Linked DNA regions of Coturnix japonica. The protein of the gene in region 2 purifies or fractionates together with the protein of the main gene of each other region. This does not show direct contact. Links are inferred from orthologs where the notes say so. Each region holds a gene or a part of one and is shown on either strand. Other genes may lie near its edges.

Evidence for each region. Proteins that work in one complex are often made in the same cells at the same time.
Region 1: the proteins of CDH5 (region 2) and JUP purify together in Homo sapiens (affinity purification with western blotting; 3 studies listed by BioGRID and IntAct, with this or other methods). This does not show direct contact. The link is inferred for Coturnix japonica from reciprocal best matches to the Homo sapiens genes CDH5 and JUP.

What each region holds. Positions count from the first base shown.
Region 1 is NC_029542.1:4,305,557-4,309,695, forward strand, and holds the start of JUP (junction plakoglobin), read right to left. Parts: upstream 2,802-4,139; 5' UTR 2,704-2,801; intron 1-2,703. UniProt on the Homo sapiens protein: Common junctional plaque protein. The membrane-associated plaques are architectural elements in an important strategic position to influence the arrangement and function of both the cytoskeleton and the cells within the tissue.
Region 2 is NC_029526.1:10,025,952-10,029,462, forward strand, and holds part of CDH5 (cadherin-5), read right to left. Parts: intron 2,473-3,511; coding exon 2,272-2,472; intron 1-2,271. UniProt on the Homo sapiens protein: Cadherins are calcium-dependent cell adhesion proteins. They preferentially interact with themselves in a homophilic manner in connecting cells; cadherins may thus contribute to the sorting of heterogeneous cell types.

The DNA.
Region 1 (4,139 bases), on a different chromosome or scaffold from region 2:
TGCACGACCCCCCCTGTGCATCTCCGCAGCACTGGGGGAATGGGTCAGGTCAGCAGGTGTGGGATATTCAGAGAGCACTGAGCATCCCATGGCAGCCCCAGCACAGCTCAGCGCCCCGAGCCACCAGGAGCTCCGCTCCAGCACAAGGCTCCTGCCCTTTGCATGGAGGGATTTTAGATCCGAGCAATTCAAGCATTATGAAATGCCTCCAGGCCTGTCAGCAGCTGCAGAAAAACCAATCGGGGATGGCAGATTTGGAGAGATATCTCAAGCCTGTCTAATTAGAAACATCTTGCCCCTCACTCCTCCTGTATTCCCCTCACCACCCTTACAAAGCACAGTGCACTGCACACAAGGGGGGAGCATAGACAGCTCTCACCCCATGGAGGCAGGAGGATGCACTGGCCCAGGAGGCTCCTGAGCCCAAAGCCAGCACAGAGTGAGCACACAGTAAGGACAAACCCCAGGATGCACTGAAGGACTGATGTAGCATGGAGGGGAGCGGGGGGAGGAGGGGGTGATGAAGCACACACAGCATTGCCCCCCCCACCACTGGACCCCAAAGCTTTGGGTGCACTGCACCACCCCTGCAGCATGTGGGCCTCGGGAGCACTGAGCAGAGCAGGCAGCAACACGCCAAGCGTGGCATCCAGGGCTGTGCTGGGCCGTCCTTGAGCTGGCAGCACAGGATGCAGCTTTGGAGCACTCTGCAGCTCAGCTCTGGCCAGCAGCACTGTAAGCACAGATGTGTTTTTAAGCTGCTTAGGTCAAGTTTTAAGACTTCTTTGGCAGCCTCTCCCATGCACAGACAGCGTGCCTGCTCCATCCCCAAACACCCAACCCTGTCCCTGGGAAACGGGGTAAACCCAACCCTGGTGGAGCTGGAAATGCTGCATCAGCTCAAGTGCTGCATCCTCCAGGGCTGACTGCGAGCCAGGCGCTGCCAGCAGGGCACAGCCCCGTGGGGGACACCCCAGGTCCCAGGAGACCAACTGGGACCCACAGCTGCCACCCAGACCCCATTTGCTGCCTATCCCAGGCACAGCCCTAAAGCACCGAGGTGGGAAAACACCACCTAAAACAAGAGTCAGAGCTGGCAACTGTGCCACAAGAAGTCCAAGGCAGACTTGCAGTGCTTCAATAGAAATGAAACTTCTTTTTAACTCCTGCTAATTAGAAGCCAGCCTAATTTCAAATTTCAGGAGCAGCATGAGCTGTGGTACAGACACCTCAATTAGAGCCCTGTGAGCTCCCCATGCAGACCCTGTACTGCAGCCCCACAGCGCAGCTCCTCCCTGCGGGCTGCCAACTGCACCCCCCAACCGGCTGGGGGTCTGATGGGGGAACAAGGAAGGATTCCCAGGAGGAGGAGGGCAGCACCCGACCTTCATGTACAGCTCAGAGGCGAAACGCTCCGTGGTCTCCAGGTGTGAACAAACCACGGGCAGTGGTGCCAACGGCACAGCCCACGGGGACCCACATGTGGACGGGGCACGAGGTGCTTCATGCCGGCATCCCCGCTGTCCCCAGGGGAGTGGCTGCAGCACCAGACAATGGAATGGGAGCCATTGTTTGTGGGGGCGGGGGGGGTTGGGGCGGCCTGCAGCCCCCCCCACGCTTCCGCCAGCGCTTCCCCACCGCCGGAGTCGGGCAGCTGCAGCTCAGCCCCCCCCAGCAGCTCCTCATCGCCCAGCGAGCGGCACCAGAACCGGGGATAAAACGACCCCCGGCCACCGCCACCCGGGCTTTGCGCAGGCGCGTCCTGTGCCCACCTGTTAAAGCCGAGTTCGCTGCCAAATGGGTTTTTCAAACCACTTTGTGGAAATCCTCCAAAGCGGTGAACAATTACGGCCTTCGGAGGTGGAAGGACCTTAATGGCTGCTCCGCTCCGCACACTGCCCCGCCGCACGCCCACAAGGACACGGGAGGGGATCCGCGCCCCCCACCGACGGACCAAACTGCGGGTGGGAAGGGGACGGAGCAGGGACAGAGAAGGGACGGAGCAGGGACAGCCCCGGAGCGGGGACAGGGGGGGCCCGGGGATACCAGCACCGGGGAGGGCACGGCAGGACGCGGGGACAGCGCTGAGGTCAGCACGGCTCCGTCCCGGCCCGGGCTGCGCCCCGGGAGCCGCCCACGCTCCCACCGCGTCCCCCCGCGCACAACCCACGCCTTCCTCCGCGGGCAACTCCCAGCAGCGGCCCCGCGTCGTGCTTTAATCTGCGCCGATTAATTAAACTAATCACCCAGCGAACGCAACGAGAACGTGACGACGATACGAGCCGGTCGCTCCCCGCTCAGTTCCGCTGCCCCGACGTTCGGTGTCAGCGCGGCGGGATGAACAGGAGCCGCTTCATTAACCCCCCCGTCCCCGTTCCCCTCCCGCAGCCCGTCCCGCTCCCCGGGGCTGCTCGGGGCAGGTGAGCGGCTCCGCCGGAACAACCACCCGGGGCAGCGCCCAGCGGCAGCACCGGAACCGCACGGGGCCGGTTGGGCCGAACCGAACCGAGCCCGGCGGTGAGCGCAGCCCCGGGGCTGCTCGGGACCGGTCGGACGGGATGAGCGCAGCCGGGCGCGGCGCTGCCCCGGGGGGGGGGGGCGGTAACAGCCCGACACCGCGCGGAGCCCGGAGCCCCTCGATGCCGGGACCCCCCAGCCCAGGCCCCCCCCCCTCGCCCCCCGCCCGCCCCCCCCGTCTCTCACCTCTCCCGGTTCCCGCAGCTCTGCCGCCCGCCCCGCTCCCGCACGAACAAAAGGCGAACGGCGCCCCGCCCCGCCTGGCCCCGCCCCTCACAGCGCTGCCCGCTTGCCATTGGTTCTTCTTCCCGTCCGTCTTCGCCGCTGCTGACCGGGCCCCGCCCCCTCCCCGTGTTTATCCGCTCGCCATTGGCGGGGAGGAGACCGCCCCCCGCGCGCCGGGAGCTGATTGGGCGGCGGGGCGGGGCGGGGGCGGGGCGAGGGCGGGTGGGGAAGGGCGTGAGCGCACCGAGGGCCCACCTGGGTGACGTCACGGGGCGGAGCCGGGAGGGTTCGAACGGGACCGAACCGGGTCGGGACAACGGGGGGAAAATGGAGGGGGGGAAAATGGAGGGGGGTAAATGGAGGGGGGGCGGGGGGCGGCACTGCGGGTCGGAGCGGGGGAGACACGCAGCTGGAGCAGGGCGGGGAGCGGCAGCGCCCATCCCACCCCATCCCATAATATCCCATAATATCCCATAATATCCCATCCCATCCCACCCCTCCCCATCCCATTCTATATCCTATTCTGTCCCCATCCCATTACATCCAATTGTATCCCATCCCATCCCATCCCATCCCATAATATCCCACCCCATCCCGTCCCATCCCGTCCCGTCCCGCCCCATCCCGTCCCTTCCCTCGCCCGCGGCTCACGCCGTGATTCAGCCTCTCGGTTTCAGTCACCGCAGCCAAGTCCCGGCGGAGCCTCGTGCTGCCAACAGCTCGACGGCCGCCAGGCACAAAGCAGCGCCGTGGCTGCACCAGCGGCCGCCCAGCACCCACCGCCCGGCCTGGGGGTCCCGACCCGACCGACCCCCCCCCAGATGGTCTTTCATGGCACTTGTGTCCGTCCCGATTTGCTCCGGGCAGAGGCGGCCGTCAAAAGAGCGGACCGAGTTTTATTCCAAGTTCAGCACCAGAACGTTTAAAATACAAAATAAACGAGCGAAAAATATAAAAGCGAGATGGGAAGTATTAAATTAATGGAGCTTAAAGCTCTGGGGGCTGCTGGGAGAGAGATGAAGGCACTTGTGGGGCAGAGGTGGTGACGGGGTACAGTGGCACAGGGATGCCGTGCACCAGGAGCAGCACCCAGCACCGAGACGGGGGGAAGGGGCGGCTCTGGGAGCTGCCGGTGGGGGTGGGCTGCTGCCAGAACCAGCACCGTGCACAGAACCCATAAGGCAGCACAGGGGTTTGCTGTTGGCCCCCTGGTCAGTGGCTCCTGGGGGAGCAATGAAGGGGCACAGCAAATCTCAGTGCTGCTATGGAGCGCTACTATGGGGCTCCCAGGGACATCGGGGCTGGGGGGGCTCAGGGGGCACCAGGCAGGTGGTGGCACAGTGGTGCGGCTGCTCCTCGGATGGGAATTATGGCAGCATGTCCCTGTAGATGGGGCA
Region 2 (3,511 bases):
GTATATTTCAAAGAGATAAAAGTGAGCTGTGGCTTTGGAATATAAAACAGTTTCTACCAGAAGATACACATAAACATGACCTCTTATTCAGACTCAGTTTGAAACCATTGGGAATTTTGATGACAGCTGGCATATTACTGGACAAACCAGCAATGCAGAATAGGATAAAACGTGCATCCAGACTGAAACCTGTTTGCTTATATATCAGGAATGTTTTATTTTAAGGTTATGCCTTATATTTCCTAAAGATATAAATTGTTCATGCAGTTACAGATAAAAACTGTCAGCCTCATTGTGTCAGAAATGTAGGTACCACTACATGGAGCTACACTTGTTGGCAAATTATCTTTGGAATGTAGCAGAATTCTAAGTGGAATTTTGCTTGGATTTCACAGAATGACAGAAACAAATCCTTATTCACAGCTACTGACAAACATTATTTAGCATTTTTCTCCATTGTTTGCCATTTAGCAGAATTCCTGCCATGGCTGACAGCTTTCTTGTGTTTAGTCATGTGTCATTTCTTCATAGTTGGTCTTTATGGTTATGGCAGTGAAATTAAGTTTTCACTCCACAGAGTTTCAAATTTAAGATTGTATTGTATGAAAAAGGGTGGGGTGAAAGGTAAAATGAGTCTGTTTTTATGTGTAATTTAATCCAGTCCCAGGTGGTTTTGTACATTATTATTTCTTTTAATCTGGACATAATCTGATGATTCTTTCCTATCTACGCTCCTCTAAGAACGCTGCTATAAAGTTTAGAACACAATTTTCTGTGCACTATATCAGCATTCTTGTTTCAGCAAGCTATTTATCAATAATTGTTGGGTTTGACAAAGATTTTCTAGTCTTTTGTTACTGACATTATCATAAATTGCAGCTGTTTGGTATTCAGGATTTGATTTATCCCGTAGTTGTCATTTACTGTTGAACATTCTTTCATTTATGTTTTTTATTTTGAAATGTGCTATTAAAATTCTCTTTCCTCATTCCACACATTTAATCATGCTTCTAACTGCTGGTGCTGCTGAACAACAGCTCGTGACTCTGGAGTTGTAACAGGAGAAAGAATCTCACCCTTGTCTCAAAGATAGTACAGCCTTTGTCTTCTTTCTTAATTTCTATTTACTTATTTGGTATGAAAGGTACAGCTTCCAAGGTTGCCTTTGCTAAATCTAAGGATGGACATGCAAATTGAAGCCTCCAAGGTCATCAAAGATAAAATCCAGATGTATCAGCATATTCCTGCATCTGTCGCTCGGTTTGGCCATGCTGATGCTGTGGCCTTTTAAAAGGATTTATCAAGTGTTCAATCCTGCAAATGCAATGCACTGTACACAGTCACTGCAAAAGTAATCAGACACATTCCGCTTTTGAAAGACCACAGAGCACAGTACAAAGTGAATTACTCTTATTTAGGACAGCACCAGGAATAAAAACTCTCTCAATCTGCTGCTGAATTGGTCTGAAATGAAACAGAGATATCCTGTGGTAGCTGAGTACCCGGTGGCCTCTTTTCTCTCTCTCGTGCTTTCTGCCAATGAGCAGCACTGATCCAGAAAGGTCTGTTTCACTTTACCATAACAGCCTTGACAGACACTGATTGTTGCACATGGAAGGAAAATGTAGAACTGCATTTATCCGAGAAGTGTCAAAGTAGTTCAATTTGAAAGACTAGACTGGGAGAACTTTATCTGGGTGATGTGCAGTTAATCACAGGATTTTATGAGCATTGCCCTGAAGAAAATGAGTTTGTGGTCAGGTCAATGCTTGTTATTACTTTCAAAAACTGTTTTCCTTCACTTTGTGAAACAAATTTTTGATTGTGTAACAGTACTCCTAAAGTGCACTTTATTTTTGTGCCTGTGCTGAGGGATGTAAGCTATGTGGTCTTTAATACGTATGTTTTTATTAGCTGATCTCCCAGGTTTTTGAAAGAGCAACCAGAAAAACACTGATATTCATCAGCTGCCAGACCTTCTTCCTTACTCTGCACCTGCATGCAGTGCAGTTGTTTCTTCACTGCAGATGCTCCATGCTTGCCATTCTCTAAAATTTATCTGTATTCTTTAGAAGAATTATAATTCCTTTGATGCTGCTCTTGATTCACTCTGCCCTCATTTTAGGATTGTAATGTTACTACATCAGTCCCATTTCTATTTGCCGTTTATTCCCCGTTAATTCAGCTAGGCTGCAAAGAAGTAATACTTCTCAGGACACTCATTTGTTCTCTGCATTTCCAGTCATTCTCTGCTAAGAGGCTGCTGTTTACCTTGCCAACATGATGGGGTAATGGTGAATCAATCTCTTCCCTGATATGCATTCGGTTCCATATCCAGTCTCTCTTAAGTCGTTTATGACTGGTATTGTTTGAAGAAAAGTTTTGTTTTGTTTTCTGATTTTCTTTATAAGAGAATGCCGGAGCCAGGAACAGTGAGAAAAGCAGAATAAGCTTCTTCATCTTCTTCTGAGCCTAGGGAGTAATAGAAAGCATGAGAACTGTGTAAATAACAACAGAATCAGATTAATCAGAGAAAGCATGCATGGAAGTGCAAATTGAATTTCCTTCTAGAGGAAGGTTTGATTACTTTCTGTATTTCTTTCAATCTGCCTTAGAATCAAAAATTGAAATATCGGGCACAAAAACTTTCACAACACAAAACAGTTCCAAACAGATGATTCGGCAGCCGTAAAAAGCACTAAAAAATTGAATAAGTAAAAAAAGCAAGTTTTTAAAGCTACCATAAAACTCAGCATCCTCTTGGGCTACCACAGTTCATCTGAAGAGAACATACAGTAGCAAAGATGACCCTTTGTGCATTTCAGAAAGTTTGGTTTGGCTACTGGCTCATAGCTCATGGGAGGGAGCTGACCTGGGAAGCAACACCAAGACTGAGCCAGATCAAAGTTCATGTTAACTCAACTTGAAATGAAATGTTAGAGTTTGACAAACTGAAATGCAATGTTTTGACATGACCTGACATCAAATATGCTGTAGTCAATATTTTCATATAGAAACTATTGATTTAAAATAAAACTTCTTTTTTGTTGTTGTTGTTGATTGGAAAAAAAAGATTCATATGGAATTTTCAATCAATTCCAAGTACAATGTAGAAAATTATCTTGCTCAGAGATCTTGTTTATTGCATCAATTCCTTGTCTCTTAAAAAAGGCCCAAATTTATTCATTTATCTTTTATACTTAGATCTTAGCACATACTGAAGAGTAATTCATAAAATTACTTTCAGGTGAAACCCTTTTTTTTACATCATGAGTTAATATTAGTAAACTGTAGGCCTGGTTATCAGATTGAGTTCATTTCATGTAGAAAAGCTGATTCATTTTTCCACTAAATTTTCCCTTTGCAAAGTAAAGCACTGTCAGGGAACTTAAACGCTCCAATAATCAGACATTAAATTACATAGAAATGGCTTTCCATTAGCTTTTAGGAGCTGTCAGTACATACATCAAGAGTAAAAGTTAATTGTGATCGAGAAGTTGAAATCACGCAT